3 linked regions of the Schizosaccharomyces pombe genome follow. The protein of the gene in region 2 purifies or fractionates together with the protein of the main gene of each other region. This does not show direct contact. Each region holds a gene or a part of one and is shown on either strand. Other genes may lie near its edges.

Region 1 (5,038 bases), on a different chromosome or scaffold from region 2:
TAGCTACTCCTGTACGTACGAGTTATGGTGGAGATTGGACTTTACATCCTTTTAGTTATAAACATATATAGTGCTGTATTGCTTTTTGGATTGTTCGGCGAAGGTTTTTTTTTGCATTGATCAACAGGTGATGAAATTTCCATTGAACATTCGCAGTTTCCCCGGAGCGGCATACGAACCCAATTTTGCCGCAGATGTCGTGCATAGTCCTTCCTTTGGATGTCTGATGTTGATCTTGCAAATTTTTCCTTTTTTTTTTTTTAATTAAATTTTTTTGTGTTGTGTTTGGCTTGTAGTTGTAGTGGTGATAAAGGTTGATTATCATGTTCTCCAATATAGAGTAGTTAAACTTTTTCTTGTTGTGATGGAAATTGTAGTCTGGTTGATTTATTGAATTCAGTCTATTTAGAATTGCTTGAAAATACTCTTAATAAAATTGTTGCAATGCGTAGAATGGCAATTAACTCTACATAGGTTAAGTAGTCTTTCTATAAAGTAAATAAATCATCTCTAAAAATTTGAAAGCATGTTTAGACAATATACATACAGAAACGCATCAGATTAACTAGAATGAAGACAAAAATATTAAACGTTTGGAAAATTATCTACAAATTAAATGCCAGATTTATCATCCGTATTTTCTAAAGACGCATCACTGTCCCCAGTTCGATCCAATAAATTTGAGATCTCTTTTAGAAACGAGGTTTCTGTTGTAGGAGCCAGCAAAACAGCGAGGAGAGTTTCACTTTTGGGGAAAGAAGATAATGAAATATTTCCAGCTTCCACTAAGCTCAAAAGTCGACGCACCGTAGATATGCCACTCTGAATCACATAACGAAAAGGATTCGTAGTAGGATACTGCGATGCTACACGTGATGGTGGATTAAGGGAAGGATGACCTGATAATAGTATGAGTAGGCGTAACATGGAAACAAAAAATCCCTCGCCTATATTACACCAATTTGCCGCTTGTTCCGATTGTTTAACATAGGAAACGGTAGCTGCTAAACAAAAAAATGACTGCTGCAATAAGGGTAACCTTCGCTCGCATATTTTAAGGCAGTGGCGGTTAAATTTTGGGACAACAGAAGCAAGAAGTAGAAAAAGGGAGTCTAAAAATTTTGGATTGTTATCAAAAATAGCTTGAAAGTTTGTCTTGTTGTTAGCATCTTTGGCTAGTAATTTGGCATAGGCATTAATGGCGGGACCAGCATAGGGATGGGTAGCAGGTGTGTAACTAGGTATAGAGGTTGGAAGGGTGTCATTTAAAATAGTTTTACTCTTCTTTCTGTTAAATGGAGAAAAAGACAAAATAAATAGTAAAACGTGACGAGCAACGTCGACATTCGGTAGAATGAAATTTTGAGAAAGTTGACAAAGTACGATTAATACATCTTTATGCAAATCCAAGGTATTTCTTGATGAACGTAGAAGGGAAGTGGCATGAAAATTAAGACTTTTGACTACACGAATGAGTAGAGGAAAAAAATCTGGATTTTGTACCAAAACGTTTTGGTTGGCCTCAAAGTGAGAGAGATTTCTAAAAATAACGAAAACAGCTAACAAATTTTGCTCCGAATTATGAACATCAATAGCATTGATGCTATCTTTTGTTTTGTTTTCGCTTAGTGAATTTGAAAAGTCTTCTCTGGAGAACTGCGATATCTCTACGCAACAATTGTAAAGAAGTTGTCTATAAGAAGGACGTTTATCGGCGATTTCCATTAAATCCTCATTAGGAAGAACAGATAGCAGATTATCAAGGCACTGAGTTGCAACGTCAATCAACGCATCAACTACATCCTGGCACTCACTTAACGGAAACATCCATTTTTGATCATTTGTTAATATAAGTAAAACGTTCATTGCATACGTTATTTCTTTTTCCAAAGTAGATTGCAGGCTCATGCACAAGGCTTGAATGTTTACAGTCCCCAGATCTACGATTGAAGGCATCTGAAGCCGAAGCAAAGATTCATCGAGCCTATACGTGGCCGCGACATTCAAGGGATAACCCAACATAGGATCGATGGGCTTTTTTATCGGTTGATAAGCAACGGGTTCGGCAGAATCAACAGGAGCTGCCGAAGAAGAAGTTTGAACGGTGGGCGGAGTGGGTCGAGTCGGAGCAGAAGGGTATGGTGGAGCATTTCTTTCAGAACTAACTGTGGTAGGAGCAGCTGGAGAGAAACGATTAGCGGTGAATGCTGGGGAGGGTGACTTTGAGTGAAGTGATCCATGCATAGAACCATTGGCATGTACAGCTTCTGGGGTGGTTTGGACCGGCTTTTGTGGATAGTTTTTTGGTCTGCTTTGAACATTCGCAGAATGATTAGCTTTTGCTTGTTGAAGTGATTTTTGTTGCTGTTGAGCAGCAAGCCATGCTTCTTCATATGGAAGCAGATAGGAATTGTAATATTGAATTAGAAGGGAAATAGCATCAGGAGATGGAAACCCCAAGGAAGCAGAAATTTTTGGCCAAAAATTATGAGCTGAGACTTGTCGAGATCCACCGGCACGCATAACCAAGGCGTACAGCATCATTAAATTAATAGGCGTATTATTTATTTGAGGATAAGATTTGATTGGCGTCCCCCGCTTTTCCATAAAAGAAATAAGGCTAACCATGAATTTGTCAAAACTAGCAGCATAAGCAGGCGTTAGTTGATTAGCATTACCAGAGGGAGTATTTGGGGAAGGTGCAGGTTGAGGAGTTTGTCTTACAGCTGGGTGGGCATTGATGCCAATTTGATTAGGAGGAATTTGTTGAGAGAGTAAGGCCTCTCTGCTTTGCATTTGTCGTTGATAAAGTTGTTGCTGCTGTTGCTGTTGTTGTTGCTGCTGCATTGCAGCCTCTTTTTCTTGTTGAAACGGGATCCGACTTGAAGGCATCATGGGACTAGAGTATTTCACAGATCCAGAGCCATTCCATGCACCGTTAGAGGCGAAATCAAATGATTGATTTGGCAAATTACGTTGAGTTGATGGAGATTGTCGGAAGGGCTGTGAATGAGCCAAATTGTTAGGCTCATTCTCGGAAGTATTCATCATGTTTGCATTTCCATATTCTGCTGCATACATCCCTTGGCTTGTCGAAAAGCGTTGAGGATACGCAGGTTGTTCTTCCTGAGTATTATAACTTTGACCTTGCGTGGGATATGATACTGCGGTTGGATAATCACTCGCAGGAACAAACCCTTGATTATTCATGATTCCTCATACTAAATCAAACAAAGAGTAAAGGGACCTTAAAATACACGTTTCAATATATTAACGTCTAAGGCGCTTGGCAGCTGAAAGTGCTTGAAAAGCAGACGAAGTGCATATAACGAGTTGTTTAGTGCTGCCTTTAAGAACCTAATCTGTGTGTTTCAGAAAATGCTTAAATTCCTAAAAAATCTTTACACTCATTCCTTTAAATCTCGCAAACGTGATTTCTTGCCTTTGCAGTGTCTCTTATTTCCAAGTCAATGACAATTGTTAGCATTGGGAAGCATTTATCGATTAGTCAGGTATCTAAAATTTTAAAAACAAAATAATATCTTATTCCTCTTGTAATAGAAACAATATTTATTAACTTGCTCTGTTAGTAGACTTGGCGAAACTGTAAACAATCACGAGTACAACATCTTCTTCTTGCGGAAACAGATATTTTTTTAATAAATTATTTTTTTTTTTTTTAAAATAGTAAAAGCATATGAGTTAACATATTCGAGATCCCGTTATCCTCCTTTTCTTTCTTTTTTTTTTTTTTTTTTTTTTGAAAGGAGCAATCAAAATTGACACATTAATTCAAATTTATCTGGTCTAACCTTTTTTTTATTTTTTATTCATTATTTTTCCTTCTTTCTTTCTGGCTACATAAGACTCGACGCAATGTCATTTTATAAATTTCATTGTTTTCTATAAACGTGCTTTCATATGTGTAAACCTATTGATGAATGAAACAAGATAGTAGAATATGGTAATTTCTATTATCAAGCAATTGGATTTAGGTTGTTGAACTCTATGGACAAGGGCTTGTACGTGTAAAATATATATGTTTATGACTTAATTATTTACTTTTGCAAATCTATGGTTTCAAGTCAACTCGCAAAAGGAATATCCGATTCAAGAAGGAAAAAAACTAAATACTACAATAAAAAAAGGTTTGTAGTATTTGAGATAAAGATGGAGATGCTATATTGCACATGTAGAATTTGATGGCATAAACAAGAATTAGATTTGAAACAAAAGTCAACTAACACAACTTTCAAGTCCACGTATAAAGCGATTTCTATTCTGACGGTTCATAAAATGTTTAATGAGCTTGCAAACTAAAACCAAGTAATTCGGAAATTAGGTATTTACAAGCTGATAATTAAAATGTGAACCCTTGAATTATTGATAATGAATTATAGATTTTATTAGTTTTAATTCCTTTTTTAAGTAATTTATCAAGTATAGTCCAACTATTTATTTACAAATATTGGTATATTAGGGTGTTTTAATAGAAAAAAAAACAAAAATTAAGCGAAGAAAAGTATTACATTAACAAGCCTGAAAAAGAAGCAAACAAACTAATTAAAAGATGTTAACTATATCAAACTTAAGAGAAAATTATTTAATAAATAAAACCGGAATTAAAAATTCTCTATAACGATGTTAGAGAAATTGTTCTAGTTACGTCGGTGTCCTTCAAAATCTGCCCTTAACCACAATCCCTGTAGGAAAACTATGGATGACATTCCAACTCTTCTTGCGAGAACATTAAACCCTACGACTTCCAAAAGTGGTAAGATACCCCAACAGAGTGGATAAAGCAAATTTACTAACTGATATAGCTGAGGAAGCACTGAAAGTATGGGAATTACAAGATAGTTCTTTTGCACTAAAACTCCTCAATATTGTCGCTGAGGATACAGTAGACATCAATATTAAGCTGGCCGCTTCATTGTATTTCAAAAATTACATTAAAAAACATTGGGATTCTGAGGAAGGTGCTTCTATTCGTATCAGCGATGAGGTGGCAGAATTGATCAAACGCGAAATAATCAAC
Region 2 (3,840 bases):
AAGAAAAAGTCCAAAAAGTCAAAGGATTGAGTAGGTCGTTAGAGCAAATTCCATTAATGTTTTAAAAAGGAATTATCAATTCACTTATTGTTATACAATAATGCTTTCTTTTTTTAAAAAAGGTTGAGCTTGTTTAGAGGATAACGACTCAAGTTCAAAGATTATTTAGGTTCTCGTTATCCATTTTTGTTTTATATTATACTGGAAACTTTCAGAGTTATCATTATTGGCTTTTTAATCTCTAAACTTGGTCAATTTAGTTAAATTATGGCATCAAAAAATTCAAGTTTCAATAGCGTTTTAGATTCAAAAGGTAATTAAGCGACACCACTTTAAAATTGCTTTACACATCTGTTGTAATTTCCGCCAAAAATTTTTGTATGGCATTCATTTGCTTGTGCTATAGTAAAATTGTAAACATATCGTCGTTTTAGATAAATTTATTGATTTGGTTTTCGCAATTGAAATTTTAGTAATGTTGTGCTACCCATTCCTAATTTCCTAAACAAATTTAGATCTTAGTGGTCAAAATTTACTAGTTGCATAAAAATTACATGTAAGGCGTCCGCTACATTGCAAGTCTTACGTTTAGATAAATGATCAATTAAAACATAAAATTACAGGACATAGCTTTTCTATATCATAAACTTCAAAAACACCACTATTTGTTAAATTCCATCCCCTGTTGATATCTTTGCATCAATGCTCGAGCCTGAACTTGAGCTTGTTGTGAATCAAAAAAACGAGATTGCTCATTTTGAATGTTGGGCGTTCCCGAGCGATTTGAGGACCTCGCTAAGTAGTTATCCGTTCGGAACTTTGAGTAGTTATTGTTGGGAGGTCCCATAGAAGTTGCTGAAAATGTTTGAGATAGATTAGGATCGGGTATGTTATGAGAATTGTTTGAAGGAGCACCAGTAAACGAGTTCAATAAGTCTTGTTGGGCCTTCAGACTATTGGCTCCCTGCATTGTAATATAAGAGCCCGAGGAAACAGAATCTGAACGAGTTAATGATGGATTGGCTTTCTCTTCTTGCTGCATAGTCCCTGTATTTCCATGTAAGTCTGTGCCATTTGCATACGAAGACGAATCCCCATTTGAAGGAGGATACGATAGTGTAGATGTCTGAGCGATTTGAAAATATTGCCGGAGTTCTTTGTATAACGGCTCGAGTTGAGGTAGACTTTCAGGACACGAAAGTGGCGGAGTTAAAACTTGCATTTGACGGGGTGAAGCAATTGATACTACAAAAGCTAGATTAGCTTTGAGACGTTGTATATAACTAGTAAATGAATTAGTAACAACGAAAAAAATATAATGTAATAAAAGAGAGACAGTGCGAAGCGCAATTTGAGGAGCCGAAAATGGATACACACAATGAATATCCTTCCGCAGCTAAGTGTGCACGTAAGCAAAACATTTCAATCACTTACCTGTTGAAAAGTTCAGTAGATAAAGCCCGTTGCTCCAATGTCGAATTTTGCGCCGTCTTAATATGCTGAAGTTCTAAGCATTTCCATAAAATCAAACGATTAATTTCTAATAATTTGTTCGCCTTTTCAACTTCCATTGGATTAACCTGTCCGGTTGGGCTCGCGGAGTTTACTATCGGTGGACTTTTCGAAACAAAGCTCATTATTACAAACGTAGTTAACTTAAAAAGGAGATATAACTTAAATAACCAGTTTTTTTAAAAAATTTGTTGTAACTTCTTGTGTTTAAAACCCATTAACTAGGAGTAATGGTAATATATATATATATTTTTTTACAAATGCGAATTTTAGAGTCTCTGATGAATACTGTCGTTAAAAAGTATAAAACAACCTTTAAATGCTATATGGTAATAAACGTGAATGTAACAACACTATAACAATTCAATAGCGACTATATTCCAATAATGACAAGTCAGGTGTATAGTTTAAGCACCTCTAACCTCGGGCAAATAAATTTCTTATTTTACGGAACATTCAAATTCGACTGAATAAGATTGTTGATAACTTTTCAAATATATGCAATAGAATAAATAAATAATAATTATTTAGAGACTAAAGCTGATTTGCACGCTTCATTAACAGAGATAATATTTATACAATTCAATAACAACACTATTAGCGTATAAAAAATAAGTAAATTTAGATTTTTCTATAAATTTGCAATTATATAGACTATTGATAACGTAAAATAAATTATCCCATTTGCTTAATTAAGTAAAATGGTATTTTTTTAATTGAGGTACATCAAAAGAATGTGTTTGAATAATTATGGTTTCGTCCAAAATTCAGTATCTAGTTATGAGGTGAAATGACAAAGTAATTTTGAAATTCGATTAAGGTGAAGATAGATTGAGTTGAATAAGTCATTTTGGGCCAATCGTAAATTTCAAAATGAATACTTTGCATTTTAAAGATAAAAACCAGGGGTATTGAAAAATATTGTTAAGCTAAAATGAGGATTTAAAGCAATAGAAGTCTAAACACGTTCATAGAATAGCATATACGCTTCGACTTTTGAAACCTCGTCCCAGGATGATTCGCGTACAATATTGTCACTAATGTAAAGCCATCGTCTCTCGGGTATGCCAGCTTCAGAACGGAAATCCTTAGAATTCGTAGAAGGGGCACTGAGGTCTAAGAATTTATGAGACAATACGTAAGCAACATAATGACCATAATTCAGGGTGCCACTGTGCACAATGACCCCGAAAAGTCGATATCTAAAACTACTTGAAGCACGTAGGTGTGGCATAACGAACTCGTTTAAATCTAATTCTTGTTCAAACTCAATGAAATCGGAAATTTTTTTGGGATTGGCGTAACCATCGTGGGAAATCTCCTGGAAAAAACGCTTCAAATGGATAATAAAAACAGGAGGTAAAGGGTCATCTAATAACATCCGCTTGTAAGCATTTCTATAAACACTGTTATTAAACGAATATTTATCGTTATCCGACGTCAATCCTCCCTTAGCTGGAGAGCCAACTTCGTTAGGTTGATTACAGCAATTCTCGCAGGCAAACATGTTTTCACCACTTAACTCCTCAACATGAGTAAAGTTTTTGAGACAATCAATAAGTGTCTTAGGCTCCTCTATTATTGGGCTTGATAGTGAAGATTCTGAGAAAATTGAATTACTATTATCAAAATCTTGTTTCGAAATTTGCCCGCTAGAATTGACAGAGAGATCACTTAATCTTCGAGTCAGTTTTTGAAATGGAGACTGTTTCAAACTCTTGTCATTTTCACTAGCATGCCCACCAAGTAAATTTTCATTTAACGAAGAGGAATTAGTAGTCGGGGCTTGATCAGTGTCGTCGTTAGCATTGTCAACAACTATCTTTACAGACGATTTTTTTGGTGAACGACTAAATCGTGAACGGAGAGCACGATGGAATCGATGACGACGACTTACGCGGCTAGACGGGTAATGAATAGGTATGGATAAATCTTGAATAGGTTCAGGAGTGTTAGTAATTTCATTACAACTTTGGCACATCACAACGCTCGTTAAACGGCCTGTAAAAATTGACTTGATCACCAGGCTTGAAGAAAATTCATCCATAGTAGCTTTATCAAGCATCATATCATCTGAAGAAAGTTCACCAAGCCGTAGTATGTCTAGTGAACGCCTTTGAAATTGAGGAGATTTTAAAACTTCTTTTTTAGGACTAGCCTCCTCATGATTAGAACTATTAGATACATTGAAATGAGAATTAGGATCTTCAAAAGAATTGGTACCAGCGACCTCATGTTGACCCTTAAAAACTTGTTGTCCCTTGTCTGAACTGGAATCGAGAAGTTCTGACGATGGAAGGGATTTTGTAGACGAGGCCGCTAATGGCG
Region 3 (3,931 bases), 2.7 Mb from region 2:
TAATGTACCAGTTTTGAAGGATGAAGACAAGTGCAAGTTTTCGATGCGCTTTACAAACTTCCTCAAGTCTCGCCCTGAGCTGAAAACAAAGCCAGCGATCCTCAATGGAAAACGTGTATACTACTTTCGTGTGAAGCGTGTTCTTCGCTTTTTAACATCCGAAGCGTATACGCCTAAGAAATACAAAGGGTTTCCAGAAATTTCAAGCCGTGAGGAAGCAATCGAAGTTCTCAAATTGCTCATTATGAATTCGATGCTGGTTCGCGTTGATAAACTCCCCCCTAAACAAAGAAAGCAGAAGCTTGTAGAATTACAGATAAATCGTAATCAAGATTTTCAAGACGATATGCATTATGTTTGGCTCTACGAGCCTCTTCCAAAACGCGTTATGGCTTTGGCAGTACTGTTCGCTCTTGTCGTATTGGCACTCGTTTTGTTCCCCTTGTGGCCAATGTTTATGCGCAAGGGTGCTTGGTATTTAAGTATGGGAGGCCTTGGAGTAATCGGTCTATTCTTTGTTTTGGTTATTTTACGTTTTTTCTTATTTTGCATTACTGCTGTCATCGTGCGCCCTGGCATTTGGCTATTCCCCAATCTTCTTGCCGACGTTGGCTTCTGTGATAGCTTTAAACCTTTATGGAGTTGGCACAATTCCAAATCTGAGGTAAAGAAGACAAGGAAATCCAAGAAATTGTCAAAAAAAGCCACTTCACCAGCTGCTTCTGCAACTCCTGAAAAGTCTTCTACGTCCACCACTTCTTTAAAGAATTTAAGGCACAGAAATCCTACCGTCGAAGAAGTCTCTGAATAAAAATTAATTGTTGTACCGTTGATGAATCCAGTCACTCAGCCACTATTACTTACTTTAAAAAAAAATAGTGCATATCTTTACGTTATCAATTCTCCTTATACAATTTATTTCGTCTATGTTTTCGGAGAAAGGTTCTTTGAGATTCTAAATGTGTTTTCCAAGAAACCTTGGCGTTCTCATTTTATGCCCAAACGTATACATATATAATCAGTATATACTAAATGAGGACACTAAATTCTTTTGTGTTTCTTATTGTTACGCATTTTAATTACGGCAAGTTTGTCAGTCAATGAATATTTACTCTTATTGACACACAATTCTTGCTTAACCCATTTATATGAAGCGTTTTAATTTATGTACCACTCCTGGTAGGTGGTTTGATAATTCCCTTATTCTTTTAATCTCAATTTATAACACATTTGAGCGAAATTACTAGATTCTTAGCTTGCTTTTCTCCTTTTAAAGCTAGTATAGCATTTCCTCATGACACAAGGAGTGCATTCTTACTATAGTTGGCTGATCACATAGGAGTGATTATAATTACAAGTTCACTAATATTCATGGTATAAATTGTCATCATATCATATGATATTTAACTTCATATCAATAAATTTTACTTTCCATATTGAATATTTTCTCAATTCTTTAGTGTATAGTGCGTTTGCTGTATATTTCGTTAACCAGACATCGTCATTCTAAGTCAACTCCCACTACCTACTAATTGCAGGGCATTTTAAAAAAACTTGAATTTTCAAGGTATCCCTCAATCATATAGGGTAATACATATTATTTTTCGTTGATTAAGTGCATTTTATTGACGTGAAGCTTTTAAAGCCCTTGGCGTTGAGGATTTTGTAAATATTATACTAGACTCTAACACCACAATGTCCAACGTTACTGAAAATAAACATGACTTACACGAAAACGGGGTACCAGATTCTGCTCAGCCAATGGAATTGGATGTTTCTAAAAAGGAGGACACTGAACCAGAAGTCAGAGACGAGGCCAAAGAATTTTTGTTGAGCCAGTTACCACAAGTAGAAGTCCCTGAGTGGGCGCAATGGTTTGATTTCTCTAAAGTTCACGAAATTGAGAAAAAACAAAACCCTGAGTTCTTTGATGGAAAAAATACGTCGAAAACACCAGAGGTATATAAGGAATACCGAGATTTTATGATTAGTACTTTTCGATTGAACTCCAAAGTTTATTTGACTTTCACGGCTTGCCGAAGGAATTTGGCTGGTGATGTATGTGCTGTCTTGCGTGTCCATAGATTTCTAGAGCAATGGGGATTAATCAACTATAACGTTAACCCCGATACTCGGCCTTCGAAAATAGGTCCCCCTTCCACAAGTCATTTCCAAATCCTTGCTGATACTCCTCGTGGATTGGTACCACTTCTTCCACCTCCCTCTTCTTCAATTCCTCGTTCCAAAGCTGTTACCATTGAAGATCCTTCGATTGTCCGAACAAATATTTATGATCCCTCTCTCGACGATGTCTTAAAAGGTAAGGGTTCAACTCCGAATCAAAAACCAAGCCTTTCGAACCTTCATGAAAACAACATTGATCAGTCAGATTCTCCACAGCATTGTTACTGTTGCGGTAATAAATTTAATGAAAGTTACTACCAATCTCAAACGGCCCAAAAATATAACGTTTGTATAAGTTGCTACCAACAAAATCGGTTTCCTTCACCGACCACAATTGCTGATTATAAGGAGGTCGCAATACAAAATAAAATTGAAGATGATGATACATGGACTGCACAAGAACTTGTTCTTTTGTCAGAGGGAGTGGAAATGTATAGTGACGACTGGGCAAAGGTTGCTTCTCATGTGAACACAAAAAGTGTTGAAGAGTGTATTTTGAAATTCCTTAATCTTCCTTCTTCCGACAAAGCTTTATTTAAAATGGACAAAGTGCATACCAATCCTGTGGTTGATTCTTTGCAGGGGAAGAACCCTATTTTATCCGTAGTCTCTTTCTTAGCCAAAATGGTACCACCTTCTTCTTTCACACAGAAAAGCAGCGCAAAAGAGGAGGAGTCGGATAAAGTTAAAGGTGAATCGGTTTATCCCAAACCAGAGTCAGAAAGTTATGATGTCGAGATGAATGGTAAATCATTGGAGGACTCTGATAGTCTATCAGAGTTATATCTAACTAATGAAGAAAAGAAAATGGCTTCTATTATAAAGGATTCTGTTAACGTGCAAATTAAGCTAATTGAATCCAAGTTATCTCATTTTGATTATCTTGATCAGCACATTCGTCTTAAATCCCAAGAATTAGATGCCTTTGCACAGGCAACTTATAGGGAAAAATTGTATATGAAACGAGAGTGTCAAAATGCCCGCAAAAAAATAGAGCAACAACTACAATCGAAGGATACTGCCGCAAATGGTCTACCAGTTCAAAGCTCCGCTGAAACTTCTGTTATCCCAGCTTCTTCTATGAGTCCTTCTTAATAATCTCAACTAATATGCTTATCGGATAAAAATTTATTAGGCTTTTATTTAAATGAATTTTTTTTTTATCTTATCTTAATGTCTTTGACATATCTAGTTTACTCAACTTTTGCGGCCCAAGTTCGGGCTATTCAGCTTGATCTCTTAACATTCGGCTGATTGATAGATTGACTAGAGAGCTATAGCATTCTAAGGGCAACAATTTTAACGTACTAGTATATACCAGTTGTTATCAAATTTTGAAAGTAAGGTCAGCTCAAACGTTGTGTAAATCCTTTGTGTCGTATGTTAAATTATGCAACAAATGAAAGAACTGAGAGAAAAGAAAGAAGGGACTAACTAATGGTTTATGTGAAACTCTATGAAAGTAAATGAAAAGAAATAAAGAATGAAGACAAAATGCCGCTTAATATGGATTTCGCAATCCTTACATTAAAATGAAGTTTTTCAACATCCGTCCATGAGTGAGTTTTTGGGGCGAACATATCCTGCTTCTGACCAACTGGTTGCATTATAATTTAGGTAGGCTTTAGGATGGTTCGCAATATATTCAGTAGTAGGGAAACCTTCAGGATCACAACCAAGCACGCTACTGGAATCAGAAGAGTCTTGATAAATTCTGACATAATCCACATACATTGTTTGAGGAAAC

Evidence for each region.
Region 1: the proteins of snf30 (region 2) and sol1 purify together in Schizosaccharomyces pombe (affinity purification with mass spectrometry, with the first as the bait; one study listed by BioGRID). This does not show direct contact.
Region 3: the proteins of snf30 (region 2) and ssr1 purify together in Schizosaccharomyces pombe (affinity purification with mass spectrometry, with the first as the bait; one study listed by BioGRID). This does not show direct contact.

The regions. Positions count from the first base shown.
Region 1 is NC_003423.3:1,308,515-1,313,552, forward strand, and holds sol1 (SWI/SNF complex subunit Sol1), read right to left. Parts: upstream 3,289-5,038; 5' UTR 3,211-3,288; coding exon 613-3,210; 3' UTR 558-612; downstream 1-557. Other genes in the region: karyopherin/importin beta family nuclear export signal receptor Kap109, read left to right, coding at 4,717-4,774, 4,824-5,038.
Region 2 is NC_003424.3:878,553-882,392, forward strand, and holds snf30 (SWI/SNF complex subunit Snf30), read right to left. Parts: upstream 1,917-3,840; 5' UTR 1,638-1,916; coding exon 1,435-1,637; exon of another isoform or gene 1,284-1,434; coding exon 662-1,283; 3' UTR 595-661; downstream 1-594. Other genes in the region: U3 snoRNP protein Nop58, read left to right, coding at 1-30; ubiquitin hydrolase Ubp7, read right to left, coding at 2,471-3,840. UniProt on the Schizosaccharomyces pombe protein: Component of the SWI/SNF complex, an ATP-dependent chromatin remodeling complex, required for the positive and negative regulation of gene expression of a large number of genes.
Region 3 is NC_003424.3:3,604,103-3,608,033, forward strand, and holds ssr1 (SWI/SNF and RSC complex subunit Ssr1), read left to right. Parts: upstream 1-1,679; 5' UTR 1,680-1,695; coding exon 1,696-3,279; 3' UTR 3,280-3,352; downstream 3,353-3,931. Other genes in the region: translocation subcomplex subunit Sec62, read left to right, coding at 1-811; ghs2 (glucosidase), read right to left, coding at 3,727-3,931.